Rattus norvegicus: one gene and its partners. The protein of the gene in region 1 binds, or shares a complex with, the protein of each later gene. Links are inferred from orthologs where the notes say so. Each region holds a gene or a part of one and is shown in the gene's direction. Other genes may lie near its edges. The genes, in order: Kcnd2, Kcnip2 and Kcnip1.

Region 1 (10,077 bases):
TCTCTAAATGCTATGTAGGGATGAATTGGGAGTGAGCACGGGACACTGAGACTCACTGGGTCACTGTGTGTCTGCTAGGGGAAGTAATGAAGGAGTGAGTACCATCAGGGGTCTTCCCTGGCCTTCACTTCAGGAGAGGAAGGAGAAGCCGATATGATTAGAAGGTAGTAATGAATTCACTTTTACTGTATTGAGTTTTTGTTTGCTGCCCATTTAATCAATATGGCGTAGGATACAGGATGGGAGGGATCAACCGGGATTTAGGACAAGGAGAGGAAACCCAAGGCCTCTGTTGGCTTTTCAATATGTAATCTCTAGATGTTTTAAGGAACAGCCGAACATTAAGATGTCAGGCATTTGCCTGTTGGGAGAGGGAGAAATGCTTTATTCAGAGATAAAAGTAAGTATGATGTCTTTGTGGAAATCCCATGCACAGGCTGCATAAGATGAATTGCATGCGCGTTAAAACAATAAAATAGCTGGTTTCCATGTTCTTAGCAAAACACACTGGACCTTGGGAAATATGATCTTTAATTTTTACAACAAGCCTAACATGTTTTATTGTTTTACTGCCTTCCGAAATGGTAGACGTCATATTATCTAAGGCGTCTTCTCATGAAGTTACATGTTTCTTTTGTGTTCAAGTATTTGATCTCCCAGTGGGGGATGTGGAAAGGTCTGTTTCGCAGGTCTATTCCATTCTTACACGGAAGCACGATACTATGGGCTTTTAATACCTACGCCCCTTTCTTATCCCGATGTCATGACTTCATCTTGCCACGATGCCATCATTTTTTTTTTTTTTGGTTAAATTTGTACCTTGTTTTTTTATAATGATTGGAAGGCATCGCCTCCTTTCTATTGGCTAGTTCTCAGCTTTGCAGACTTCGCAAGCATCCTTCGCTTGGGTGATACAAACAAACAAACAGCAGGTGTCCCACACTGCCATGGTGCATTAGCTTCAACTTTGCTACCTACCCTCACTGGAATCCCTAACCCCGCACAAGTAAGCAAGCACAGCAAACAAACATCCAACTTGACGGCTACTCCCGTGTATTACAGCGGATGCTTATTCTCCTTCTTTGACGATTTTCTATACTTTAAGTTCATAGATTCTCTTTGAACGCCCATTTAAAGTAGGCACATCATGCTTATGGTCTCTCTCTTATTGGTTTCTACACAGCAAATCACAACCCACATTCTTCCCATACAAAAGACAGCAAAAGAAGCCTTGAAAAATAATTTTCATGTAGAGGTCAGGCTGCTCTTTCCAATGAACTTCACTTTTCCCATGATCTTAATGGTTTTTCTGATCATGACTTGGTATTTGAAATGTAATTTTTCAAAGACATTTCAACAAGAAACACTGACCATCATATTCCAAGTCCATCAAAATGCATCTGAAGCCTGAACAATGCGCGTCATATAAACACTGAAAAGGTGGGTGGTCTCGGGAAATGTAAGGATTTTTATGTGATCTGATTCTCCATCGAATCTGTAAATTTTTCTGATCCTTTGCCTTTCTAAAACAGCAACCTTAGATGTAAATTTAACTTCTCGCCACTCATGCCATCTAGTGGCCACTGCTGTTAAAAGCTTGATTTTTAAGGAAGACACCTAATGACTGGGGGCGGGGTACACGAAGACCAAAATCGGTTGGCCACTACAATTTTCCTGTCTCTTTTCCCATCACTCACCCCTCACCGGGACACGTTTTCTTCCTTTGGTCATTTTAGATATGCGCAGGGATGCGCAAAGGGCACGAAGAGACACACACTCTCAGAGCCTCACTCCCCTGCACACTGACATTTAGAAAAGGGTCTAAATTCTCCTGTCATTTGCAAAGGACAGGGGGAAAGGAGTTGTGGCAAGACCTAGCCAGAGGAGACTTGTGTGACTTTTCCAGCAAGTTGGACGGGTAATATATTAACCTTAGTATCGTTAACATCTGTTTTGAACAAAAATAATTACAAAAAATTAAAGAACGAGGGGGGAATCACTTAAAAATTCTGCCGCGGAGCTTTGCAGGTTTTGCGACCCAGTCGCCCCCCAAAGGCAACCAATTCCTTCGCGTTCCGCTCTGTTCACCCCCCCCCCCTTTGCAGCTTTTCTCGATTTTTTTTCGGCCCCCCTTTCCCACGCTCATCTGGAACCGGGGCTCCGGAGGCAGCAGTAAGCCACCGGTCCCCTTCCTCCTCTCTTCCATCAAACAGCCGCGGCCAAGCGCCTTGAAGCTTCCCTTTGTTCATCCGAGGCTCCCTCATCCCCGGGATAGAACCACCTGGATGCTCTCCCTTGGTGACATTTGGCGTCGAGGCTGGTGGGTGGCTAGGGTGGAGCGAGAGGAGCCCGAGGGGGCGGGGGCGGAGAAAGGTCAAGGCGAGGGAAAGGCAGGAGACGCCTTTGCCTAACCTGCGTGGCGGGGCGTTCGTGCGGCTCTCGCTCTCTCCCTGCTTATTTATCGATCGCACGGGCAGAGCAGCGCGCGGAGCTCGCTCGGGGGAGATGCGGGACCACCCACTGGCGGGGAAGCAGCGAGCAGCCCTCTCGCGCCCCCGCGCCGCCGAGCGCCTCCTGCCTCCGCGCCCGGACGCCAGCCCACTCCTGCCTCGGTCCCGGCCCCACGCTGCCACCGCCTGCCCCGCAGCCCCGGAACCCCGCAGTCCCGGAGCCCCGCAGCCCCGCAGCGCCCCGACCCCGGGGACGCCGGCCGCGCAGTAAGTTGGCAGGAGCGAGTGGCCTGGGCGGCTCGCCTCCCCCGCACCTTTTTGAACTTGTTGCTGTTGGCTCTGCTCGCCTGCGCCTGGCTTTTGGGAAGGTGACAAGGAGGAGGGAGGCACAGAGGGTGGGGGAAGGGGACAGAGAGCTCGCCAGAGCTTTATTTATGCTCCCCGGGAGCCTGGGATCTGGCTGCTCGGGAGCCGCTGGCTCTGCCTTTCCCTTTCCGGGTGCAAGGCGACAGCAAAGTCTCTATGCAACTCAGCCCCGGCGCGTACTTTGCCAGGTATGTACGGCGGGCGAGGCGCGTTCTGCGCGGAGGCAGATGCTGCTGCCGCCACGGCGGCGGCGGCTGCCAGCTCCCGAGCTCTATAACTGTCACACTGCACCTGAGCTGAACTTGAACAGAGAGTGAAGGGGCCCATCAGGCGAACGCTCTCTTTCGGCTGGCACAGAGGGTGTCAGTCGACGTGAGGGGACAGAGAACTCTAGACCGACGCCCCCCGCCGCGAGCCCTGCACTTCACCTCCATCTCTGCAAGCGCAGCGTTGAGTAGAGGAGGCCAGCGGACTCCAAGGGACGCGGGACAGCGGCTGTGACCGCATTTCTGGAGCTACAACAACAGGTCGTCTTTTTGAGACGCCTTTGGCGGGAAGGACCACTTCAGCAGAAGGGGAAGGTGAAAAGGTTCTTTCTTTTAAGAGACTACCACTGGTTGACTTTCCCTGTTTCCTCTCACCTGCTCTATATACCGACCCTGTATCAACCAGACTGTATCAGGGGAGAAGTGAAGACACCTGTTTGAAGCAAGGCTGTCTCTAAAGTCACCTGTGCGTTTAGATGTGCCAGGAGGTGCCCTGGTCCAACTGTTGGCAGAGCTTTGTTTAGGCTCTATGGAGAGAGATTTTTAGGTCACTGTATTTTTTTTTTCTCTCTTAGTATTCCAAATACTTGTCTGTGAGAGAAATCTGGCTTTTTGGGTACTGTGACTTCACCTGCGCCACCTTGGAATAACCGTGTTCCTGTGAGCCGTGTTCCCCAGTGTTTTGTCTGAGGTGAAGAAGTGGGGCATTTTGTTACTTTCATTGTGTTACTTTGGGTGACCCCTGATCACTCTTGTGACCTCTACTTCAGACAACATGGCAGCCGGTGTTGCAGCATGGCTACCCTTTGCCAGGGCAGCCGCCATTGGGTGGATGCCTGTTGCCTCCGGGCCTATGCCAGCTCCCCCAAGGCAGGAGAGAAAAAGGACTCAGGACGCTCTAATTGTGCTGAACGTGAGTGGCACCCGTTTCCAGACATGGCAAGACACCCTGGAACGATACCCAGACACTCTGCTGGGCAGTTCCGAGAGAGACTTTTTCTACCACCCAGAGACCCAACAATATTTCTTTGACCGTGACCCAGACATCTTCCGCCACATCCTCAACTTCTACCGCACGGGGAAGCTTCACTATCCCCGCCATGAGTGCATCTCGGCTTATGATGAAGAATTGGCCTTCTTTGGCCTCATCCCAGAAATTATTGGCGACTGCTGTTATGAGGAGTACAAGGACCGCAGGCGGGAGAATGCAGAGCGCCTCCAGGATGATGCAGACACTGACAATACAGGAGAGAGTGCTCTGCCCACCATGACTGCTAGGCAGAGGGTCTGGAGGGCCTTTGAGAACCCCCACACCAGCACCATGGCCCTGGTGTTCTACTATGTGACCGGGTTCTTCATTGCCGTCTCAGTCATCGCGAATGTGGTGGAAACAGTTCCATGTGGGTCTAGCCCAGGCCACATAAAAGAACTGCCTTGTGGGGAAAGGTATGCAGTGGCCTTCTTCTGCTTGGATACCGCCTGTGTCATGATCTTTACGGTTGAGTACTTGCTACGCCTGGCCGCAGCGCCTAGTCGTTACCGTTTTGTGCGCAGTGTCATGAGTATCATCGATGTGGTGGCCATCCTACCCTATTACATTGGGCTGGTGATGACAGACAATGAGGATGTCAGTGGCGCCTTTGTCACACTCCGAGTCTTTCGAGTCTTCAGGATCTTTAAGTTTTCCCGCCACTCTCAAGGCCTGCGTATACTGGGGTACACACTGAAGAGCTGTGCGTCAGAACTGGGCTTCTTGCTCTTTTCCCTCACAATGGCTATCATCATTTTCGCTACGGTTATGTTCTACGCAGAGAAGGGCTCTTCAGCAAGCAAGTTCACCAGCATCCCTGCAGCCTTCTGGTACACCATCGTCACCATGACAACACTGGGGTAGGTGCCTTTGTAGGAAATGAGATGGGGATTGGACATGGGGTGGGTTGATTATGAATCTCTTCCGGCTTCCTGATGCTTTAGCGTGACTACATTTTTTTCTCTTAATGGATTTATGAAAGCACTTATTCAAAAGTTTAGAAACAAATATTTTGATCTGTGAAATGGGTATGACAAAAAAAGATTGAAATTACCAGGGAGTTGCAGGCAAATATTAATTACTGATTCTATATAGTGACAAATATAGAATTATTTGACTAATTATGTGGATGGCATGTTTTTCAACCTAAGACTCCTGTCTAACTTTACATCATTTTAAAAATTATAGATACGATTTTCAAAACTTTTATATCAGTATGCTATTATGTTCATTTTCGTTATGAGTAATGTGTTATAATTAGAATATCAGATCAGAAACAGGTCAACTATACAAAATATAATGTTTGGAAGTCTAGGTTTGCCTCCTTTTGTAAAGAAAGAAGCATATGCCTGTCAGTCATCCCTACAGTTTTCAGAAGCTATGGTTCCCATCAGTCAGAGAGTCTACAGATGCTCCATCCACTACACATGGACGGCAGAGCAGCGTCTGTGAGACCATTGGTTACCATGGATCAGTTGCAGTGTGCAATTTGGGGTTCAAAATTTCTCCTGGAGTTCTTTCCTTCATTCTTTTATTTGAGGGCATGAAGTTTTACAAACCAAAGGAAGGTTTTCTGAATTTGTGTTTTCAGAAATGGACTTCTAGGGAAAGAATTCAGACTTCTCTAGATGTTATAAAGAATGGTGTGGAGTGATTAAGAATGTTACTCAAACTGCAGAAAAGTAGCAGCACTTGTCGGGGTAGGAAAGCTAACAAAATAAACCAGAAAGAGAGGCTACTTTGCAGAGTTCGTAGGTGATCCTTGGAGAGGTATCAGTGTTCCTTCTTTGGCTTTGTGGCTACCTTTCTTGCCTACATAATCAGGGTAAGAAGGATTTGATAAGGACTCTAGGAAAAAAAAGTTATTCCCAAGGCTGTATTCTTGGTTTTGTGTTTCTGACTCACTTAATTGGCTTCTTTAAATGACATCGTGGTTAAAGTCAACTTAATTTTATTGGCCATATTGTGCTGAACAGAATTTCTCGTGTTATATGGCCAACTAGTGGAATATGTTTTTATGAGGGGAAATTTCTGGCTGAGTTAATGAAGAAGACTGGCTGAAGTAAAATATAGTGCTTTGGATTTTGATTAAGTCTGCCATATCCTTGAGGATATAATTATAGCTTTTAAAAGGTGAATGAAGGGAACTCAAATCCTTCTGCTTTCCTTCCCCTTTATCCTGTTGGCTGTTTTGTGACAGATAAGAGAGGATGTGGCAGATTATTACAGGTGCTTACCCTTACTCAAAAGAGTTATGCCTTTTTTTTTGTTCTGTCTCTGTGTTGTGTGAATCATGAAAGGACAGTCAGGTAGCTAGGATTGCTGTCATTTCCCATTCGAGCTCTACTAAAGAAGCTCTATGTTAAGAAGAAAACAAAGGAGAAGCTACTGAGAGACAATACACTTTACAAAACGTGGTGGCGTGCAGGTTTTTCCTGAGGTCTCAGTGAGTCATTTAGAATTGCATGCTGTCTGGATGCTCGAACGTAGGCATCATTACAAGGAATAGGGACAAGTTTCTAATTTTTTAAGGAGCTGAAATTCTGGACGTGAGAAGTTAATGTCAACATTCCTTTCTGGAGACAGCTTCCAATTCTTTCTCTATCTTGAAATGTCTGCTACTTTCTGGAAAAATGGGGCTGTGTTACTATTACTGCTCACAAGCATTCTCTTGTGGATGATTTAAGAAACTGCGTTGAAATACTTGAGCAGCATCTGGGCAATCAGTTCCATTTGTCCTATAGGAGAGCAAATACAAACAGTTAAATACACAAATCTTCTAGAACTTGGAAGCAATAAGGGGGTTGACTTTTAAGACTTCCAGTTTGAATGAAATTGAAAGTTTTTTTAAGAAGATAATCAATGACTCATTAAAAAAAAAAACAACACCCAGGCTTTTAAAGCAATAAAAATATATGTGAACATTGAGGAAAGCCTGTGTTTTATATAATACACTACTCTCTGTTAACAGGAATATCTGCAGTTCCTTTTCTAAACGTGTTTATAGTATTTTAATTGCCTGCACAAAACGAATCTTAAATGCCTTGTCTTTTGGTGTTTTACTGTTAGTAGCCTTGTGGCTCTGTGCTATTTAAGAGTGGAAGGGATGTAACACATCGGTCTATGACTTTATCTTTTATGCTGCAACTTTAGAATGGGAAGTATAAACTTTCTGGAAAATATGCAGTAGTTTAGCAGTTGTCAAATTGTGACTGATGGATGTCCAAGAGTTTGACACCAGACTTTCTATGTTCTCTTTATGTGGCTATTATTTTTAATGAAATTAATATTTATTAATTGATGATATCAGACGTGAAATTGACATCCCACACGATGTTATCGGAAGTACCACCTGATATGAACACTGTTTTCATGAGAGGAAAAGTAACCAAGCACCTTCTGATTCAGGTCTGAAAAGACTCAGCTAATACTTTTTGAGGATCTCCAGTTGGTTTTGGCTTTGAAGAACTCAGTGTGTGTCTCTTGGGACTACTGTATTTATATAATGTTTTCAAACATTAGCTTTGTCATAGACTATAACATGACTATGCTTGCTGGGTAAGTATCTAATCTGACCGGAAAATGAACACAGTTTGAAGGCTACTCATCTTGTATCAGTAAACGTAGAAAACATTGAAAAATATCAATAAAAGGACATAAGAGAAAAACTTGTTAAGTGCTTAGACTGGGTGACATGGGCATCAGTTCTTTCATCTTGCCCTTCCTTTTCAAGCTTATTTATTTACTGACATGGGACCAGGAGGCCACCTCTCTGTCCTATCCTTGTAATCCCTGATCCAAAGTGTAAAGTCTATTGGTTTGAATTGCCTTAGCCTAAAAAGAACCCACAGTCCCTCTTTGGCTAGGGTTTGGGACAGCATATCCACTGGATGTATTCTTCTCTTGCATAATACTAAGATTGGCACATCTCTAAGTATCGGCTAATGACAACCAGAAGTTGATTCGCGAACATGGAGATGAGCCTCGGTTTGCACTCTTCTTCATGGTCATGACTTTCCCATGGAAGAGATCCCAGGTGGCACAGTAAATCCTTGGGGATGTAACATCATGGTAGGCAAAATGTGTGTTCTCAGCCACGTCTCCCAACCATATTTGCTCATAACGTGAAGCTGAAGGAGTTAAGAGATACCGTTCCGTTTCTGCAGCCCATTCCACTTCTTTAATCACAAAACTGAGTTGTTTTCATCAAAGGTTTTTATATGGGAATAAAAACGCCTGTGTGGTATTTCTGTAAACATTGGGCATAAAAATCAAATGCTGTGAATATTATTCTGATTTCCGAGCAAACTTGAAAGAACTAAAATGTTGATGTGCTCCACGGAAAGGAAACAATCAGGTAGAAAACAATGTAACTTTATTGAAAATTTTTCTCATAAGCCATTTTTTTCTTAGAAATAATTTAGGAGTTGATCATACCTATATGATCATATCAACCAAGTATGATACTCTTAGAAATATGCATTAAAAAGAAGATTGAAGATATTTATTTATTCATTTATTGATAGATAGATAGATAGATAGATAGATAGATAGATTCTCACTGTCGATATCTGAATGATCTGGAATTCACTGTGCAGCCCATACTGGCTTCAAAGTCATAGAGATGTACATTTAAATAACACCTTCTGACTACCTATTACTATTTAAGTTATATAAGTTTGGAGAATGCTGAGAAGATAATTTACAAAATTATTTAATTTATAAACTTCCAATTTTCTCAGTCCTTCTGAGAAATAAGTGGAGTCATATTACCTCGTGAGGTGTTCTGTACATAAATATGGCTAATCTGTTGGTCTGAAAATCTTTAGAGGTGAGAAGCACACAAATTTCTTTCCAATAAAGAACACTCCAGATAATACTCATTTTTATTTCCGTTTGCCTTAGTATGGAGCTGTTGACATGGTCTTTTAAAGAAATACAGAGAAGCGAGATATGTATTTGCTGTTAAGCATCAAAGGTGAATCTTAAAATGTTTCATTGTGTTTAATCTTTAATTTGAATTAGAAATAGCATCTGATTACATTTTAAAATTTGTATATGTTAGCATCTAAAATGTGAAACTTCAGTTTCCACTTGATTTCCAGACAGAAATGTGCAAGAAAAAACATGTGTGCTGGAAGGGAAGCTGGTCCTTTGGTCCTCTCAGTTCCTCTTCACTTATTAAATACTTTATTTTTAGAATCAAACCATGTATTTCTGTGCATCCCCACTTTGTGTGTATGTATGGGTAGGTTTGTGTGTGTTTCTGTGTGTGTGTGTGTGTGTGTGTGTGTGTGTGTGTGTGTGTGTGCACAGTGCACGCACACATGTCTGTGGGCCTGCATATGGAGGCCAGAGGTTGATACAAGCTGTCTTTCTTTCCTGCCCTTCACTTTGGTTTTTCAGACAGGGTCTCTCTGAAGGAGGACTTGCTGTTTAGCTCCACTTGGTAAGTCAGTGAGTTCCAGGAATCTCGTCTTTACTTCTGCAGCAGCCCTGAGATATGAATACTTCTACAGGAACTTGATTTGTATTGGTTCCTGTGGTCCAAGCTCACTATGCTTGCAGGACAAGCACTGGTCTCCTCTGCAGCCCTTATATTTGTTTAAGGAGGAGTTTCTGAAGCTCGAATCTCCTTTTCTTTGCATTTCTCACTTTGTTGTAGTCCAGTGCGGCCTCTGACTCAGAAGGTAGCTAAAGATGACCTTGAAATCCTGATGCTTTTGTCTGTATCTCACTGGTCCTGGGATTATAGACTTGTGCCACCATACAAATTTCTTAACACCAGATTTCTCATTTCCAAGAGGAAGGGAGATGTGCTTTTATTGAAAGTCTGTCATTTTACACATATGAGAATTTTGTGGATTGCCCATAATTGGAATAGTGAAATTGTAATAGTAATTTTTAAAATTACAGTTTTGTATGTTTTTAATCCTGAGAAATCCAAATGTGTCTAAAAATGTGC
Region 2 (9,363 bases), on another chromosome or scaffold:
CCAGCTTTCTGGATGATTCTAAATCCAGTCAAGTTAATAATAGATATTAACCTTCACAGAGATCTAGGTCAGAATGTAATGATCATAATAACTTTGGTTATTATTGTCTTGAGATCATTATAGTGTTATGATGCCTGAGGGTCCTTGTATATTTTATGTGGTTTGATCATACTGTGCATGAGATGGTCTATAAGGCTCTCCATATGTGTGATCATATTTTACTTTGGTCATATTTGTGTATATTAGAGTTTTGGGTAAAACTTTGTGTTTGGAACATGCTTATACCATCAAGTGTTACTGTCTTCTCTATGTCACTTGCCATTCTCACTTGTTACTATGCAACATGCTTGTGGGTACGTGCATGTGTGTGCATGAGAGAGACAGAGACAGTGAGAGAGAGAGAGAGAGAGAGAGAGAGAGAGAGTGAGTCCTATTCCGACAATTCCTTAGACATTACCCTAAGTGGGGTTAGCAGTTAGCAGACTCTGAGGCTGCCTCACTCTTACCTGCTTTTCTCCTTATACAACATGACCAAGCCTGGCCCGAGGTTGACTTTCCATGCCTATGAGACCCAAGAGGCATCCTGGCCCCAGCTATCCTGCCCATCTACACAGCCCCCATTCATTTCCTGTCCCCACCCCAGCCAGTGTTGATTTGTGATTGGTGGGGGAGCAGATAGGCAAACAGAGAACTGAGGGGCTGTGGGAGTTAATGTACCTTCCCGGGGTCTTCTCTCTTCCCAGGCCACCCTCCAGGGCCCAGTAAAAAAGCCCTGAAGCAGCGTTTCCTCAAGCTGCTGCCGTGCTGCGGGCCCCAAGCCCTGCCCTCAGTCAGTGAAAGCAAGTGCCTCTCCTATGCTTCTGGGGGTGGGGCGTGCGTGCGTGCGTGCGTGCGTGCGTGCGTGCGTGCGTGCGAGCGAGCGAGCGAGCGAGCGATATGTGACGGGAATTGGGAATTGGTTGGGTCTGAATGTTAAGGGTGTAGCTACAAACTGGAATGTAACAGGCAAATCATGAGTGCTTGTGAGTGAGCATCCCTAAATCTGCAGAATGGTGAACCATGGCTAGTGCGTTAAGGCCTCAACTCCGAGCCCTTGTAAGTATAGCCAAGACCGTGATGGGTTGGCTCAGCTGGTGAGGTTGGTCTGCAACTCTGTGGCCTCCCTACTGTTTTAGACCTTGGAATGTATGTCACCTGTGCCTTAACAGGTGACAGGTGTAGAGGATGGAGCCCACTTTCCCAGATGTCAGGATACCGAGGTTTTTCTGTCCTAGCCCGATCTTGAACTGAGTGGTCCCCAATTAAGTAGGGACCTCCTCTGTTCTATAGGTTCCGTTTCTTCAGCTGAGCCTTGCCCACCTTATAAAAACGCACTGAGGGGCTGGGGATTTAGCTCAGTGGTAGAGCGCTTACCTAGGAAGCACAAGGCCCTGAGTTCGGTCCCCAGCTCCGGAAAAAAAAAAAAAAAAAAAAACGCACTGAATTTTATAAGCCATAAAGGCCCAGTAGCTAATTGAGCACTTAAAGTTGCTTCACTCGGATGGTGTCACCGAGTGGAAAAACCTTGGAAAAAGAAGGGGACTGTTTATGGGGAGCCCATACCATCATGAATGTCTGTGTGCACTGCGATGTGCCTTTGTTGTGGGTCTGGGGTTCGTTTGTTGAAACACTCAAGTCTGTGAGATTTCCTGTGAGTGTGGGGCCTGGGGAGTGTCTGCAGTTGGCCTTATCTTCTGCTGCCGCCTTCTCGGTGACAATTCGCTCCCTTCAGCATTAGCTGCCCCAGCCTCCCTCCGCCCCCACAGACCCCGCCCGCTGGACCCAGGTGACTTACTCTCCTGGTTGGGGCGGGATTGGGAGGGGAGGGTACTTGCCTGGAGGGATGGATGTTGGGAGCTAGGGTGGGACTGAGGGTGGTTGGAATTGGGATTTGGGGTCTGAATGATGATTGGCTGGAGCTGGGCGGGGCATGGCTCGGGCATGGCTGAGATGGACGGGGTTCGATTGGGATCGGGCTGGGTTGTGGGCCCTCCAGAACTAGGGTTGGGCAGCTCTAAGTTGGTTCAAGAGAGGTTCCGACCTTCTGGCGTCTGGGGCCCCATTCTATCCCCCTACTGAGAAGCTATAACACTGGACTGTCCCCTACCAAGGGCCAGGAGCCAGTGCTGAATCTGGGGCCAGGCATAGCCTTAGCCCCAACTGACCTTAAAGCTGGCCAGTGTCTTTTTTTTCCTTCGATGTTCTCAGCTCTGAGTCTGGCAAACTGTTCTCTCGGGTGTGGAAGAGGGGACAGGGAGAAGGGGGTGGGGGTGGGGGTGATGATGGATTAGTTACTTTGAAGATTACCCACGTGATCTCAGGGGCTTGACCTGAGGCAAAGCTATCCCCCTCCCACTCCCCACAGACAGCGTAGAGGATGAGTTTGAATTATCCACGGTGTGTCACCGACCTGAGGGCCTGGAACAACTCCAGGAACAGACCAAGTTCACACGCAGAGAGCTGCAGGTCCTGTACCGAGGCTTCAAGAACGTGAGTGGAGGGTGTCACCAACTGGGTAAGGGCTGAATCGGAGAGGCAGAGGCGTAGCTGACCCAACCTATATCCTGAGGTTCAGGGCCCTGGGGTTGGTAAGCTGGGCTTGTGATGGTTTAATTCATGTCTGTTTGTACACGGGGAAGAAGTTGCTTGCTAGTCCTTACCAGAACTCTGTGGTAAGTTCCACAGAGGCAGGATAATCTTCCCTCCTTCTGGGAGTCTCTCTCAGGGTGATGAGTAGGAAGGGAGTGTCTACTCAGTCTGGTTGTCTCTGCCCAGGAATGCCCCAGTGGGATTGTCAACGAGGAGAACTTCAAGCAGATTTATTCTCAGTTCTTTCCCCAAGGAGGTGAGGAGTCAGACACCCAAGGCTGAGGTGGGAAGAGGGTTCTGGAGGCCTGGGGGTGCTGAGAAACTGGGGGTTGAGAAAGCTAAGGGGACGTGAGTACCCCTGCCTGAAGACCACGTTCGTGTCCCACCTCATCCACAGACTCCAGCAACTATGCTACTTTTCTCTTCAATGCCTTTGACACCAACCACGATGGCTCTGTCAGTTTTGAGGTGAGAGCTAAGAGAGATGGGTCAAGCAAGCCTGTTTCCCTGGGCTTCTGGGGGCCAAGATTTGCACGCCAAACCCAAAGAGTGGGTTGGCAGAGTTCCCTCCACCTCCTTTCCAGGACTTTGTGGCTGGTTTGTCGGTGATTCTTCGGGGGACCATAGATGATAGACTGAGCTGGGCTTTCAACTTATATGACCTCAACAAGGACGGCTGTATCACAAAGGAGGTGCAGGGCCACCGCAGGGCAAGAAGGGTGGGGGGTGGGGTGCTGGTAATGTAGAGTCGGATCTGGTATGGAACCATGTGTGTCGTATGTGTCAGCGGTAAGCGGTGAGCGAGTCGAGTCGGTCCTTGGCCCTAGGCTGTAAATCTGGAGGCTAGAGGCTCTTAGGTGAAATCTCTCGTTTGGCTTAACAGGAAATGCTTGACATTATGAAGTCCATCTATGACATGATGGGCAAGTACACATACCCTGCCCTCCGGGAGGAGGCCCCAAGAGAACACGTGGAGAGCTTCTTCCAGGTGCGTCTGGGTAGGCTGGTGGCCCAGGGGTGGAGGGAAGGACACCAGGGCCCAAGAAGGCACTAACCTAAGTATCTCTCTCCCATTGTCCCCTCACGCCCCTGCCTGTCCACCTTCTTACAGAAGATGGACAGGAACAAGGACGGCGTGGTGACCATCGAGGAATTCATCGAGTCTTGTCAACAGGTATGGTTCCACTCTCTACACATCTGTCCCTGTTCTGAACCTAAATCCGTGAAACGGGAGAAGGCTCCTCTCAACTTCACTCACTCCCCACCTCCCAATCCTATTCTTTTATGACCAGGGCAGATTTACCCTTTTACCACCTCAGATCCCCCTAGATAAGCTTCTTCCTAACTCCTGAATGCCCCCATCTTTGAATGTCTTCCTCTGTGTCTCTGACAAGCTTTTTTATTTTTTTTTCTCTCTCTCTCTACCTGCCTCCCTCATGTCATGACCACAGGACGAGAACATCATGAGGTCCATGCAGCTCTTTGATAATGTCATCTAGCTCCCCAGGGAGAGGGGTTAGTGTGTCCTAGGGTGACCAGGCTGTAGTCCTAGTCCAGACGAACCTAACCCTCTCTCTCCAGGCCTGTCCTCATCTTACCTGTACCCTGGGGGCTGTAGGGATTCAATATCCTGGGGCTTCAGTAGTCCAGATCCCTGAGCTAAGTCACAAAAGTAGGCAAGAGTAGGCAAGCTAAATCTGGGGGCTTCCCAACCCCCGACAGCTCTCACCCCTTCTCAACTGATACCTAGTGCTGAGGACACCCCTGGTGTAGGGACCAAGTGGTTCTCCACTTTCTAGTCCCACTCTAGAAACCACATTAGACAGAAGGTCTCCTGCTATGGTGCTTTCCCCATCCCTAATCTCTTAGATTTTCCTCAAGACTCCCTTCTCAGAGAACACGCTCTGTCCATGTCCCCAGCTGGCTTCTCAGCCTAGCCTTTGAGGGCCCTGTGGGGAGGCGGGGACAAGAAAGCAGAAAAGTCTTGGCCCCGAGCCAGTGGTTAGGTCCTAGGAATTGGCTGGAGTGGAGGCCAGAAAGCCTGGGCAGATGATGAGAGCCCAGCTGGGCTGTCACTGCAGGTTCCAGGGCCTACAGCCCTGGGTCAGCAGAGTATGAGTTCCCAGACTTTCCAGAAGGTCCTTAGCAATGTCCCAGAAATTCACCATACACTTCTCAGTGTCTTAGGAGGGCCCGGGATCCAGATGTCTGGTTCATCCCTGAATCCTCTCCCTCCTTCTTGCTCGTATGGTGGGAGTGGTGGCCAGGGGAAGATGAGTGGTGTCCCGGATGATGCCTGTCAAGGTCCCACCTCCCCTCCGGCTGTTCTCATGACAGCTGTTTGGTTCTCCATGACCCCTATCTAGATGTAGAGGCATGGAGTGAGTCAGGGATTTCCCGAACTTGAGTTTTACCACTCCTCCTAGTGGCTGCCTTAGGGGAATGGGAAGAACCCAGTGTGGGGGCACCCATTAGAATCTTTGCCCGGTTCCTCACAATGCCCTAGGGTCCCCTAGGGTACCCGCTCCCTCTGTTTAGTCTACCCAGAGATGCTCCTGAGCTCACCTAGAGGGTAGGGACGGTAGGCTCCAGGTCCAACCTCTCCAGGTCAGCACCCTGCCATGCTGCTGCTCCTCATTAACAAACCTGCTTGTCTCCTCCTGCGCCCCTTCTCAGTCAGCCAGGGTCTGAGGGGAAGGGCCTCCCGTTTCCCCATCCGTCAGACATGGTTGACTGCTTTGCATTTTGGGCTCTTCTATCTATTTTGTAAAATAAGACATCAGATCCAATAAAACACACGGCTATGCACAGCCTGCTGGCTCTGCCTCTTTATCCCCCACCGCCGCCATGCAATTGCCATGGAATCCAACGACAGACCTGCAGCCCTTTAAATGCTCAAGGAAGTGCTTGTCTTTCCAAGGATGGCTATGACTTGGCACATGACCAAGACTCAGGTTAGAAATCCACCTGACCTTAGCCCCTCCACGAATCTCCTCGCATGACTTGAGAAGACACAGGAAAAGGTGGGATGGCATGTAAGGACTGTATGCACGGAGCAGGCTGTCTCCCCCCACCCACCTCATTTTGACATAAACGTTATTTTATTCCATTTCAGGAAAGTGAAAAACTTGCCATCCCATTTCACCGTAAATCCTGAGCACTGAAGCAAATACACACATGAATATCTGTGCATGTTACATAACGCGTATATGCATTTACATATTTTCAGATTTTAGCTTCACTGGTGTCTGACCCTTTGTTCTGTGTTCTCTCTCGATCTCCTTTTGAGGAAATGTTTCCTAACCAAGGAGGACCTTCAATATTTTTTTTCTGAGAATTTGTTGTTGTTAGCATACAAAGTCATAGGGTTTCCTGTGGTATTTTCTTTCTTCCTTGTGTGTGCCTGTTTGTATGTGTTTTCTGTGTGGGTCGTAGGTGCCTATGGAGGCCAGAGGTCAATGTTGGAGTGTCTTCTTCCAGCCTATTTTTTTGAGGCAGGATCTCTCACTGAAAGTTCAGCTCACCCATTAAGTTAGACTGGCTCCCAGGAATCCACCTGTCTACACCTGCTCAGTGCTGGGATTACGACATTTGGTCTCTAACCCAGCTTTTGGGTGCTGGAGGTCAACTTCAGGAGGTCCCCGACAAGTACTTTACCAACTGAGCCATCCTCTCCCACAAGCATACGTCACTGTGGCCTCTCATACACACCCGCTCAACTACCTTCCCTCGCCTACCTTGCTGGTCTTCCCTTTCTATCCCAGTGATCTCCCTTTTGTTTTGGGGTGCGTGTGCATGTGTGTGTGCGTTTGTGCGAAACTCTAGATTCTGCATATAAGAGGAAATGTACGCTATTTTTTTCATTCTCCCTTTCTTTACATCCAAATGACATACTTTCTCTTCCTCCTTTCTTGGGGCATTGGTTTTTGAGGCAGGGTGTCATGTGGTCAGGCTGGCCTCAAACTCATGCTGTAGCTGGGCATGGGCTTGAACTTTTTTTTTTTTAAAAAAAGATTTATTATTTATGTAGACACCAATGTTGGGGTAGAAGTCTCGGCCCGCATCCAGACAGAACACACCAAACCAACACGGTTCTCCACGTGGAGAGGTTTAATGAGAGAAGAGTAGAAGGGGGGATAAGTAAAGGCCAGCCATGAGCACGTGGTGGGAAGTGGGGGATGGGGAGAGAAGGGACCAAGGGGAGAGGGCAAGAAAGCAGAGAAGAGAGAGGAAGAGCAAGAGAGAGCAAGAGAGAATCAGGAGGGGGCAAGCAGCCCCTTATATAGTGTCAGGCACAGCTAGCTGTTGCCAGGGCAGAACAAACCTGGCTATTGGGATGGAACTTAGACAGAATACCAATATATATGAATACACTGTCGCTGTCTTCAGACATACCAGAAGAGGGCATCAGATCCCATTACAGATGGTTGTGAGCCACCATGTGGTTGCTGGGAATTGAACTCAGGATGTCTGGAAGAGCAGTCAGTGCTCTTAACCACCGAGCCATTTCTCCAGCCCTGTTTCAATGTTTTATAGCACCCTGCACCGCCGTCATAAGGAACTAGCTGCTGTGGATGGGCTACACACACACACACACACACACACACACACACACACACACACACACACACACACGAAAAGGCTGTCAATCCCACTGGAAAGACAGTAGGGTTAGGGCGCGGTATATGTGGAGGAGCTTTTCAGATTCCTTTTCTGTGGCCACACGTATGCTTACAGAAACACATATCCTCTCACTCCATGAGTGCCTATCCATACCCTTCATCAGCTCAATCCGAGTTTTCACAGAGGCAAGCTATCCTTTTTGGTAACCACCTCCCTTTTTTTTCTTTAATGTTTGAGACGGGAACTCACATAGCCAGGCTCCATCTCCCTTTGTAACCGAGGGTGACCTTGAACTCCTGACCCTCCTACCTGTGCCTTACAAATGCTGGAATTACAGGTTTGTTCCACCAGGCCCAGCTTTGGCAAACATTATTAAATTCTGAATCAAGAGTGTCAGACTCACAGAACGCTGAGAACGCTGCCTCTTGAGAAGTCCTTCCTCCCTCCCTCCCCGCCTTTAGTGCAGCATGGTTGGGCATTATTAAAAAGAGCTGGCTCAGCAGGTGGAGATATTTGCCATCAAGCCTGATGACTTGAGTTCTAGCCCTGGGATCCACATGGTGGAAGGAGAGTCTTCCCTCCAAGCCCGATGACCTGACTTCTATCCCTTTGGCCCTCTGATCTCCACATGTGCCCCATGTCACCAATTCACAAGTCGAGTTCGATTAAAAAGACTTTCTCCCACCTGATGCAAACGGGTGCTGCCATTATGTAAGTGATCATGCGGTCACTGACTCAGTGCAGGCCACCTGAGGCAAGGACAGATTTCCTGAGTGCTTGTCCACTGGGAGTGGTGAATGGCAGGTTCCTCCCATCCTTTTTCTGGAACTCCATTATGTGCTGACTCATCCAGAGGAGGAAGTCAGGCCCTCTCCCTTCCTAAACACACTGACAAGGTCAATGAAGAGGTTGGTTTCGAGGAGGCAAAGCTCCCTTGTAGGAGTACAATAAACAGCACTTTGAAGGCCTGGCTTCAATCCCCAACAGCACAGAAAGTGTCTAACCTCCAGAGTGCGTCTGTTGTCTGTTTCCTGCATATCTCGTCTGAGAACTCTGTTCTTCTGTTTCGAATGGAAGATCTGATCAAAACTGTGGGCCCACTATCCACAGTGGGTGAGAAGGGGGGATGGGGCAGGGCTAATGTTTGTTGTTTTGTCTCACGTTTTGTTAAGAGATTGCTGGGTGTGAAACCCACGGCCTGGTGTGTATTGCACAAGCACTGTGTCACCAAGCTGTACCCTCCAGCTCACTCTCACAAATTTTGGGTCTCTGAAGTTCATCCTCAGATCTTAGGTCAAGAACCTAGTATCGGGTGTACCCCCTAGATTTTTCGCCTTTTGATGTTGTTGCTGGCTTCTGGAATTGTTACGGGGAAGTGGGGTTTCAGTCTGTAAGTTCTAAGAGCCTTAGGGACAGACTTTGAAGGAAGTTTGGAAGGACTGTTTTACTATTTTATTAGTATCTGGAAGAAAAACAACAGGGCAGGCAAGCTGTAAATCCTGGCAGCTTGGAGAAGAGGAGGAAAGGTTTGAGATAGGGTCAGCAACGACCTGTAGAAGGCAGGGGAGGAGTCTTTTCAAAAAACAAAGCTCGGAGTGTAAAGGCAACCATGCTGAGAGTTTTGGCTGGCATTCAAGTGAGAGGAGGAAGGAGGAAATGGCAAAGTTATACTTTTTGAGTTAAAACTCAGAAGAGCTGGCAGGCCTAGCAGATACCGGTATGCAAGTTCCTACAAGGACAGAAGATAACTATTCCTCCCATTTCATCTTTGTTGTTTCTGTTTTGTTCTTTTTTTTTTTTTTTTTTTTTTCTTTTTCTTACGGAGCTGGGGACTGAACCCAGGGCCTTGCGCTTGCTAGGCAAGCGCTCTACCACTGAGCTAAATCCCCAACCCGTTGTTTCTGTTTTTAGAGACAGGGTTTCTCTGTGTAGCCCTGGCTGTCCAGGAACTAGCTCTGTATTTACCTCTGCCTCCCAAGCGCTGGGATTAAAGCCATCACCATGCCCAGCTTCCTCCATTTTTTTTTTTTTTTTAATTGTCTTTAGGTGAATCAGTTTTCCTCAGGAGTGGTCCTGGCCAAATGTTGTCAGGCCCAATTAGATTCCCCACCG
Region 3 (9,363 bases), on another chromosome or scaffold:
ACCTTACCGTCTGTGCTCCGGTGAAGTCACCATGGAGATACAGGGCAGCCGAATCTGATAGACCAGTCCTGGATTGGCTGGGGTTAAGGTGCAGCTTTGTCACTGTTGACCTGTGTCACCCAAGCCTCAGACAGGAGTTAGTGGCAGAGTTTGGGGAAGAATGACAATAGAAGGTATTTCAGGGACTCCGTTCAAAAGATATGGAACTCACTGGCACTATAGGGGGCTTGATACGAAATGACGTTTCTAAGAGGGTCTAAAGTTTTCATCCATCCTATACCATGAATAACCTGAAAGCCTAAAATGTTTTATTTTTAATTACTCTGAATCATACCCGGTTTAGTCTAGGACTCTCTGCTGTATCGCCCTGTACAATTTATCATTCCAGCTCACATTCACCTCGGGTGATAGACATTTATTACCCCGCGAGCTCCTTGTAGTTAGAAATTTACCTTTTCCATTAAGGTAATTGACTTCTAAATATCAAGTGACGAGGGTGCCAGACCCCTCACCCCCACCACACAGGTGAACATTACAAAGAGAAAATAATCTCATTGATCTTTATCAAGCAGAACTTCCCATCGCATTAACCTCACGATTGGCTTTGATCCAAACTCGGTCTGACTTAATGATTAGTTCGCCGTTACTTTAGTAATGAAAAGAATAACAGAAAGAAGCGTTTGGCATTGAAGACTCACAAGAACCAAACAGTAAGGAGCTCCCGTGTGTTAGTTCTGATTCTGTGTAACCAGGGAGCTAGGCCAGTGTCCTCCTTCTACCAGCTCTGTCCTGAGATGTCTGGGGAGTCCCCAAGTGGACAGGAGAGATGTGAATGCCACCCTTCCAAAACAGATATATTTACAGTGGCCCAGAACAATGAGGCTACGAGGTGGTAAGAAAGGGAGGCACATCCAGATGTGGGCCAGTCTAGACAGTTGCAAAAGCTGTGAACACGTTAAGTTATTGTTTTCCAATGAAAGGCCAGGGCTCACCAGGGTCACAGCAGCAGAGGTTTGCCTAGGCTGGAGGGCATGTCACGTCCGTCAGAGACAGCATTGCCTCACGAGGTTTTACCTTCCAGAGATCCCACGGAAATGTTGCACGTATTTATGCACACACTGGGTTGTTATGTAAGTTACACGCTTACTTACCGGTTTAGGCCCCTACTATCCATGGGTGGCTACTTCCCTACATCTCAAGCCCCAATCACCTGAGTTTCTCCCGTCGGGGATGTGACCACAGACGGATCATTAGTGAAGGGCAAAGCCTGAAAGCAAAGGCTTGGCCGTCAGTCAAGCCTGTCACTGCTTGATAAGGAGTGACTCCTCTTCTTAACGAAGTGGGTTTAATAGCTGGTGTCTCGGTAATTAGCACCTTTGAAGCAAAGTGATGGGAAGTGAATGCTGGTTCCAAATTGAAAAAAAAAATTCCCTTAAACTTTTGCAAAACAAAACAAAACAAAACAAAACAAAAACAGTCTCCTAGTCTCCTTAGCTTATAAGGAATCAGGCACAGGAGATTAAGAAATAGCACAACACACACACACCACACACACACACACACACACACACACACACACACATAAAAAAAATATCTTTTTTTCTTCTGGGTCAGATAAATATTTGCAGGTAGAGACCTTTGAAAGCAAACCATCTCTTTCCGAAACAAATTTTTCCACTTTCTTATTTATCTCTTAATATTTATATTCTAATTCTTCTTCCTTTACTGGGGCTACCTGGGCACTGCCCAGTAGATCCTGGGGAGCAGGCAATATGTGGTATCTATTATAAGCCTCCACAGCCCCTTTGAAGTTTCTCCAGAACATACACAGCACTTTTTTTTCTTTTGCTAAGACTAACCAGCAACTGATTTCTTAGGATGAGTTTGAGATCTCATGAGATACTCGGAGCTTCCCCTGTTATACCTGTGTGTACTTCCCCCCGCCCCCTTGCTTTTCATTCTGGACACTGGCCCTTTGATTTACACAGAAACCTTCTGCATTAAGGTAATTGGTACTTAACTCATTAGCTACAAACATAAGGAGAAAGAAAGGCTTCGTAAGAGTTCTGAGGAAATTGGCCACTTGCCACAGTGTGACATAAACAGAGTTTCTTATTTATATTGGATCATTATCTATCTCCCTCCCAGAAGAACTAGGTGATGTGCGGGACCCAGCATGTAAGAAAGATAACAATTAGGCTTGGCTGCCGCATTATTGAGGCTTTACTGTAACATCCATTACCACTGGGATTCTGCTCAAGATATAAATTTTGATGGATTTGTTTTGTGTTGGGATTTAAGTGTCACGGTAGCAGAGAAAATCTGGCGCTAAGAGCCCAACCCTGCCTGCAGAACAACTACACTCACTGTACCTGTTCGCCTGGTTCTGCGATGCAGACCCAGGCCGCCTCCTCTGACTTACCATGGTGCAGTGTGGGCCGTATGTTCCCAGCAGCCTGCTCATCCCGCCCTTGTTTTCACGAGGCAGAAGTTGGAATTGTTCAATATATGGATTTGCTGATGCCTGTGTGACAACGGTAGGCAGGGTAGGGTAGATGGCAAACGATCCTTGCCTGGAATAGATTTACAGAAAAGAATTCTGGCAGGGCACAAAGAGAGTGAGTAGTCACTCATCCCTGTCTGAGGCTAAGCTCCTGGAAGCAACCGCCGACGGATGAACTTTGAGTTGCTTCAAAGGAAGATAAGTGGAGTCAGCCGACAGGCACTTTGCAAACGAGGTGTCCCATTGGACACTGTTCCGATGCGTGCAGGAGGTTGAAACCCTACTCTCTTATGGCTGTTTTTATAGAGCCTTGCAAATGTCCTGGAAACCTTTCTTTATGCAAAGATGCTCGCATTGAAGTTGCTTCCCTGGTATGTAAGGAGACCTAGCGGATATTACAGAATAATGCTGTGTGCAAAATACATTCTGATTCTTTAAAGTCACATTCAACACAGCGTACTTTGAACTTCCCACTGAGTCTCCCTAGCACCTCCCTCGCTAGCCCGCACGGTGAAACCTCATCCCTTTTGAAAATAGTTACGATTCCTTCCCCTTTACTGTTCGGAGTCTCATTCTGCTCAGGCACCAGCGTCTCTGCATGGAGAGCAGTGTTATGGAGCTTCAATTTGAATATGCAAAGATTCAAATTGGTTTTGAAAATGTTTTTTGTGTGGCTGTGTTCTGAACACTTCCACCCTCAGCTGCCTATCTGAGATGCTGATGGCCTTTGCCATCTGTCACATTTAGAGTAACATGGTGGGCAGATTTCGACACAGAGTGAGTGGGCAGGGGAGCGGGGTTCAAGGCCCATGACCTCCACCATGACCCCAGTCCAAGCCCAAAGTCCCGGTTCCCAAGATCACACCTCGAACAGCTCATACTGTGACCCAACACAAACCAAGGAGGTCACATTCTGATGCCGTCCCCTCTGCTTCCAGACAAGATCGAGGATGATCTGGAGATGACCATGGTTTGCCATCGGCCTGAGGGACTGGAGCAGCTTGAGGCACAGACGAACTTCACCAAGAGAGAACTGCAAGTCCTTTACCGGGGATTCAAAAACGTAAGACCGCCCCCCAGAGACTCGGAGGCCTGTTGTGTTTCTTGTCACTTGACTAAGCTTTTCCCGTGCCAAGGAGGTCCCCAGAGTGCAGAGATCCAGGAAGGCCACTGCTATGAACCTGCACCTGGTGAGAAAGAAAGCAGGAGGACCAGGCCTCAGACAAGGCAGACAGGAACCTCACCCACTGCAGAGAAGTGCCACAGGGTGGTGTGACCTTGGGGAAGCCTTCACAGCCAAGATGCAACCTTAGCTTGACCGGCACTCTCTACCCTCTGTTTGGTGTCCAAAGAGTGATGGGATTGAGCTGTGCTGACTCATGCTAGAGAGGCCTGCAATGACCGATGTATAAGCCCAAATGCCACTGTGTTCATTTCTCCTTGAAAGTTAGGACAGGTTGGGGATTTAGCTCAGTAGTAGAGCATTTGCCTAGCAAGCGCAAGGCCCTGGGTTCAGTCCCCAGCTCCGAAAAAAAGAAAAAAAAAAAAAAAAGAAAGTTAGGACAGTGGAACCAACACTTCTGTCCTACTGCTGTGACCTTTTCCTATGTGCCACACAGAAAGCCACTTCTTAGCAAAGCAGTGTGTAAGGAAGGAAGTTCAAAATTGACACATACCCGAGGCTACTGCTGTCTTCTGGGATGCTTTGAGAGCTCTCACAGCCCAGCCTGGATAAGGAGTTTGGGTTTAACCCTTACAACATTGAGCACATTCATATTCCCAAATGGCTGGGTGGAGTTAAGCAAGCGAGCTGTTCTGGTCACCTCCCTCCAGGCACAGCCTCCAGCAGGAGCTTGGTCAAGTGTCCTACAGCTCGACTAGTTGGTCATGTGTCTGATTTGCTACTGTTGGGCATTCTTCTTTCTAATGTTGAAGAAGCCATGTTAATAGTGCCCCGCTGAGCTGGAGTGAGGTTCTGGGAGGTTGTTTCCCAGTTGGGCACTTGTCTAAGAGGAGACCAGAAAATAGAAGAAATTCCACTTATTATTTTGGCAGCTACCCTAGTCTCAGTGCTACCTAATATTGAGGGAACTGTTAAACTCATTCCGAGGGTAAGTGTGTTCAAGATCACAGGCCACCTCTGACGAAGCCGAAAACCTTAAAGCAGGCTTAACCAGGATCCAAACTTAGACCTGTCTAGACCTAAACCCAAGACTCTCCCAGCCCAGTCCCTATTCTGTGATCTCCCCTCACTTGCAAAATAGCTTTTCATGATAGTGTTACCTCCAAGACCTCCTGAAGATACCCAGTACACATGTGCTTCCTAGTCTCTGCCCAGGAGAGGGCATGAGGACCCTGCTCAGTCTCCACTCCCTAGTACAGGCTCCCAGACACTTCCCACACACACACTCTCTCTCTCTCCCCCACACACAGGAGTGCCCCAGTGGTGTGGTTAACGAAGAGACATTCAAGCAGATCTACGCTCAGTTTTTCCCTCATGGAGGTGAGTATATGCTTGGAAAAATGCCCTCCCAGCATCCTCTCCAGTGGTCAGCCTTCTCTTTCTCAACCCCTCTGTTCATTATCTTTGGGGTCAAAGGAGAATTCATGGCAAGATTTTTTTTCTTACTACAAAATATAAAACTCTCTGACAAACAAATATGAGCCCACTCAAGGGGAAGAACAGATATCGCAGTAACAGAAAGTCCCATAAACAGCTCTAGAAAGCAGGCATCATGACCCCGGAAGGAACGATTGAGTTTCAGAGACATTAAGCATTTTATTCACGACCACACAGCTCGAAGGTGGCAGCCGAGGAATAGGAAAGTATAAGGGGCAAAAGCTTTGTCATCTTGGTTCCTTGAACAGCTAAGACGGGTTGAAATCTTGTAAAGAACATTAGTAAATACTACAGACCATAAAAATCACTGAGCAAAATAAACTGTGGGCAGCGTGAAGTTGTACTTATTTATAAAGTCAGGTCAGTGAGGCACTGGACTCCCACCGCCTGCTCCACACATCCGTGCATCCTTCCCCCCTGTGGCTTTCTTGTGTCACCTGCTCACAGGAGTCACCTGAAGAGTGCGGAACACCTGTTCCGGGTCCTAACAAAAGAAAGACTTCAAGTGTCCCACATCCTTCTTGGGCCCTATCTATCACGGGCCTTCCCAGCAATGCACAGGTGTCTCCCTGGTGTGGGATTCGGTGCAGGGTTTCTCTCTGTGTCAGGGAGAAGTGGCTTCACGTCATGCTAGTACCTGACTCCCTATGAACGCCCCCCAGAGACAGTTTGCCACTGTGTGGCAGGGAAGGCTCGAGTTTAATGTATTTCTCCCCATGTCTCAAGAGTCAGGTCTTGCTACATCCCACTGTACGAAGATGGGGAATGGACACTCTGAGGTGTTGCATTAAGTCTACAAGCACAGCTATATGGAACCAGCTTTGATACAAGCTCGGGTCTCTCCTCACAAGGAGGTGCCCATGCCATGGCAAGGAACCCTGCTTGGGACACCTCTACTCAGTCACTGCCCAGAGGACCAGGCCACACAGAGGAACAGGCAGGGGAGACAGTAGGGAGAGAGATACGAACCGTCTAACCTTGTGCTAGAACTAATTTCTCGCCTAATCTTCAGGACTGAGCAAATGAGTCTCAGTCCATCATCCTCCCTCTCCTCTCTCTGGCCCCACCCGTGCTGCCTCTGCCCTCTGTGGAGCCTTGACCCCCACTCACCTGCTTCCCCCTCTACTTTGCAGATGCCAGCACATACGCACATTACCTCTTCAATGCCTTCGACACCACCCAGACAGGCTCTGTAAAGTTCGAGGTATAGTATGTGGGTCCAGTCGGGGGTCCCCTGGTTCCACAATGCCTCTCCTTCTGAATATGACAGTGCTGGTGGAACGAGTTAATTATCAAAGTCTTCATTTAAGACAAGAAACTTGATTCATTTAAGGAATAGCACCTGAAGTCAGAGAAGACTCTTGTCGTCTAGACACTGTGCGTTGGGGTGGTAGAGACAGCCTAAGAGATCCCTTGTGCCCTGTAAGCCGAGCGGTAACCTCTGGACCTAGCATTTCTTATTTATTAACCTGTTTAGCTTTTATAATAGTGCTTACAAGGCATGGCCAGATGGTTATTTATTATCAATTAACAGAAGAAGAAAATGAGGCAGAGAGTGAGTAGCATTTCCAAGATCAGAAAGAGAAAGAAAGTGGCCAGGGAGGCCTTGAACACAGGCAGTGTGTTTCCTCAGCCTGTGCTCATAGCTACTGGAATGTACAGTCCCTCAGACGTTAGCAACCATTGCAGCCTTGGATTAGGATCAACGAGGGAGGCTGAGTTCACACATACAGAGCTCAATTCATCCTCAGGGGCCATCAGAGACTGAGACAGTGTAGGTACAGGGAACGGAAGATAGGACTGGGCCTCCCCCAGGCTGGGACTGGACATTTCCATCTGGCTAACGAGAGGGTGTGGGAGGCGCCATTTTGTAAAAGCATCACGGTCCAATCTGGAAGTCAGGCTTCTCTCCACCCACGCAGTGGTTAACGTGAGGCCTGCCTTCTTCACTTCTTAGGACTTTGTGACTGCTCTGTCGATTTTACTGAGAGGAACGGTCCATGAAAAACTGAGGTGGACGTTTAATTTGTACGACATCAATAAAGACGGCTACATAAACAAAGAGGTAAGTGAGCATGAGATGAACACAGTGGAAGCACTGAAATCGAAAGCAACCCCAGACCCCGGAAAACACTGAGTGAAAGCGAGTCCGTCCCTAGCAGAGTGAGGAAGCCCACCGCTGATGTCCCCGCCCAGCCCCGCCCCTGTGCTCAGGAAGCTGTAAACCGCTCCTCACAAGCCCACACAGGTGCGATGGGCTGAGACTGTCTTTTGGGGAACCTGCATCTCCCCCTGAGTAGCAGCCTCCTCACATTAAAGCTCAGTATAAGCCTGGAAGGATGAAAGGAGCCCCCAGAAGAGAGCAGAGAGCTCTTCGAGACAGAGGTGACATGGGCCAAATCCCATTACCCACAACCCACTCTGCCTAATAAAATCAAGGAAGGGGACGATTTGGGGTGGTGGGCAATTGTCTTAAAAAACAACCATCACGGGGTTGGGGATTTAGCTCAGTGGTAGAGCGCTTGCCTAGGAAGTGCAAGGCCCTGGGTTCGGTCCCCAGCTCCGAAAAAAAGAACCAAAAAAAAAAAAAAAAGGAAAAAACAGAATATCAGACTCTTCGCCGCTTCTCTCAGAGCATTGGTGCATCACCCACCACGGGCTGTCACTCAAGACACCTGGATGTCTGCCGTGAGAGCCATAGGGGCTTGACAATAACATTTGGGCATCGTCTCGCTGAACTCTTGTATCTCAGACATGATGCCTGGAGCTGTGAAGATCACCTTCACCTCAGTACTGCAAGGCTCTCCTCATGTAGAGGGGGGAACTCACACCCAGGGTGTATGCACAGCCATGTTCCCTATTCATCCAGTCACGGGTGTTCAATGCAAATTTGAGGATTCATTCTGTTTCCTGGGTGCTGGAGAGAAAATGGCGAACAATCAGCCCAAGTCTGACTGTCATGGGGTAGTGAAGTGGGATGGACAATAACAGCAAAATGAAGAATGACAGGTTTTGGTAAGAGTCAGTGTCTTAGTTAGGGTTTTACTGCTGTGAACAGACACCATGACCAAGACAACTCTCAAGAGGACAACATTTAATTGGGGCTGGCTTACAGGTTCAGAGGTTCAGTCCATTATCATCAAGGTGGGAACATGGCAGCATCCAGGCAGGCATGGTGCAGGAGGAACTGAGAGTTCTACCTCTTTGTCTGAAGGCTGCTAGCAGAATACTGACTTCCAGCAGCTAGGACAAGGAGGGTCTTAAAGGCCACACCCACAGTGACACACCTACTCCAACAAGGCCACACCTTCTAACGGTGCCACTTCCTGGGCTGAGCACATACAAACCATCACAGTCGGCAAGGGGCTGTCTAAAACAGTATTGCCAACCAAGGGAAAGTCAGTCCCAAAGTCAGGAAAAGTGTCCCAGGAAGAAGGAACGGCCTCTAGTGGGGTTCTCAAAGAAGATAGGGTTCCACATGCCCTCCAAACGGAGAGGCTTGCTGATGGCTGCAGACTAGGAGGGTAGGGAAGAAAAAACGACAGGCTTCAGCCTGGACGGGGAAGACTGGGGTAGAGAGCCCTACCCGAGGTCCCACTGTACCTACTGGGAGCAGGGGTCTCAGGAAATACTAAATACCAAAGGCGGTTCGAAGTCAGCGGGAAAATTTGAGCAGCTCCCTGTCACTCAAAGAAACAAAATTCACATTAAAAACCCAGAAAAGTTTGAGCTCCCCGGATGATTTTCTGGTGACGTCTAACACAAACCTACAAAGCTGAGGTGCGAGTGACTTTCCCATATTTTTTGTAAGTCCAACAACACCTCGATTCTGAAACTTGAAATTTAGAAAAGGTCTTAGGGGAAGCACGACAACCACTATGAGCACAGATGCGAAAAGCCTATCAAAACATTAGCAAACCAAATCCATGAATACATTTAAAAAATACAGTATAATGTAAAAAAAAAAAGTATAGTATAAGCAAGGTTTTTCCAGGAAGGCAAGGTTGGTTTGACTCTCAAACATCCATGTCAGTCTCTCTATTTACACAACAAAAAGAAAAATGATATTGACTCAGTAAATGCAGAAAAGGCCCTTGATAAAACCACTACCCATTCACGGTAAAGTCTTTAACAGATGGAGACTAGAAGATCCTTTTTCTCAGCCTAGTATCTGATAACTGATTTTTAAGAATCCTACAGCCAATATCTGCTTAATAGTGAATACTGAATAATTTTCCCC

What was found.
Region 2: the proteins of Kcnd2 (region 1) and Kcnip2 are in contact, whole or in part, in a cryo-EM structure (PDB 7UKH), measured with the Homo sapiens proteins. The link is inferred for Rattus norvegicus from reciprocal best matches to the Homo sapiens genes KCND2 and KCNIP2. Residues at the interface, in NP_036413.1 of Homo sapiens: Val5, Ala7, Trp8, Leu9, Pro10, Phe11, Ala12, Arg13, Ala14, Ala15, Ile17, Gly18, Trp19, Met20, Pro21, Val22, Ala23, Ser24, Gly25, Pro26, Met27, Pro28, Ala29, Pro30, Trp55, Asp57, Arg61, Arg100; in NP_775283.1 of Homo sapiens: Arg112, Gly113, Phe114, Asn116, Glu117, Cys118, Val123, Phe128, Ile131, Tyr132, Gln134, Phe135, Phe136, Tyr144, Leu148, Phe152, Phe165, Leu169, Ile172, Leu173, Arg180, Trp183, Ala184, Leu187, Tyr188, Met201, Met205, Ile208, Met211, His228.
Region 3: the proteins of Kcnd2 (region 1) and Kcnip1 are in contact, whole or in part, in a cryo-EM structure (PDB 7E8E), measured with the Homo sapiens proteins. The link is inferred for Rattus norvegicus from reciprocal best matches to the Homo sapiens genes KCND2 and KCNIP1. Residues at the interface, in NP_036413.1 of Homo sapiens: Ala2, Val5, Ala7, Trp8, Pro10, Phe11, Ala12, Arg13, Ala14, Ala15, Ala16, Ile17, Gly18, Trp19, Met20, Pro21, Val22, Ala23, Ser24, Gly25, Met27, Ala29, Pro30, Gln33, Arg35, Lys36, Arg37, Thr38, Gln39, Asp40; in NP_001030009.1 of Homo sapiens: Thr60, Arg62, Glu63, Val66, Leu67, Arg69, Gly70, Phe71, Asn73, Glu74, Phe85, Ile88, Tyr89, Gln91, Phe92, Tyr101, Leu105, Phe109, Phe122, Leu126, Leu129, Leu130, Lys137, Thr141, Leu144, Tyr145, Val162, Ile165, His185, Phe189.

What each region holds. Positions count from the first base shown.
Region 1 is NC_086022.1:50,739,181-50,749,257, forward strand, and holds the start of Kcnd2 (potassium voltage-gated channel subfamily D member 2), read left to right. Parts: upstream 1-3,304; 5' UTR 3,305-3,857; coding exon 3,858-4,972; intron 4,973-10,077. Other genes in the region: uncharacterized protein Kcnd2l1, read left to right, coding at 1,749-1,918, 2,106-2,172, 2,333-3,133. UniProt on the Homo sapiens protein: Voltage-gated potassium channel that mediates transmembrane potassium transport in excitable membranes, primarily in the brain. Mediates the major part of the dendritic A-type current I(SA) in brain neurons.
Region 2 is NC_086019.1:254,586,247-254,595,609, reverse strand, and holds the end of Kcnip2 (Kv channel-interacting protein 2), read left to right. Parts: intron 1-743; coding exon 744-839; intron 840-1,771; coding exon 1,772-1,825; intron 1,826-2,404; coding exon 2,405-2,529; intron 2,530-2,814; coding exon 2,815-2,884; intron 2,885-3,025; coding exon 3,026-3,096; intron 3,097-3,212; coding exon 3,213-3,320; intron 3,321-3,511; coding exon 3,512-3,616; intron 3,617-3,739; coding exon 3,740-3,802; coding exon of another isoform or gene 3,803-3,916; exon of another isoform or gene 3,917-4,079; coding exon 4,080-4,127; 3' UTR 4,128-5,438; downstream 5,439-9,363. UniProt on the Homo sapiens protein: Regulatory subunit of Kv4/D (Shal)-type voltage-gated rapidly inactivating A-type potassium channels. Modulates channel density, inactivation kinetics and rate of recovery from inactivation in a calcium-dependent and isoform-specific manner.
Region 3 is NC_086028.1:18,734,373-18,743,735, reverse strand, and holds part of Kcnip1 (Kv channel-interacting protein 1), read left to right. Parts: intron 1-3,441; coding exon 3,442-3,566; intron 3,567-4,936; coding exon 4,937-5,006; intron 5,007-6,256; coding exon 6,257-6,327; intron 6,328-7,080; coding exon 7,081-7,188; intron 7,189-9,363. UniProt on the Homo sapiens protein: Regulatory subunit of Kv4/D (Shal)-type voltage-gated rapidly inactivating A-type potassium channels. Regulates channel density, inactivation kinetics and rate of recovery from inactivation in a calcium-dependent and isoform-specific manner.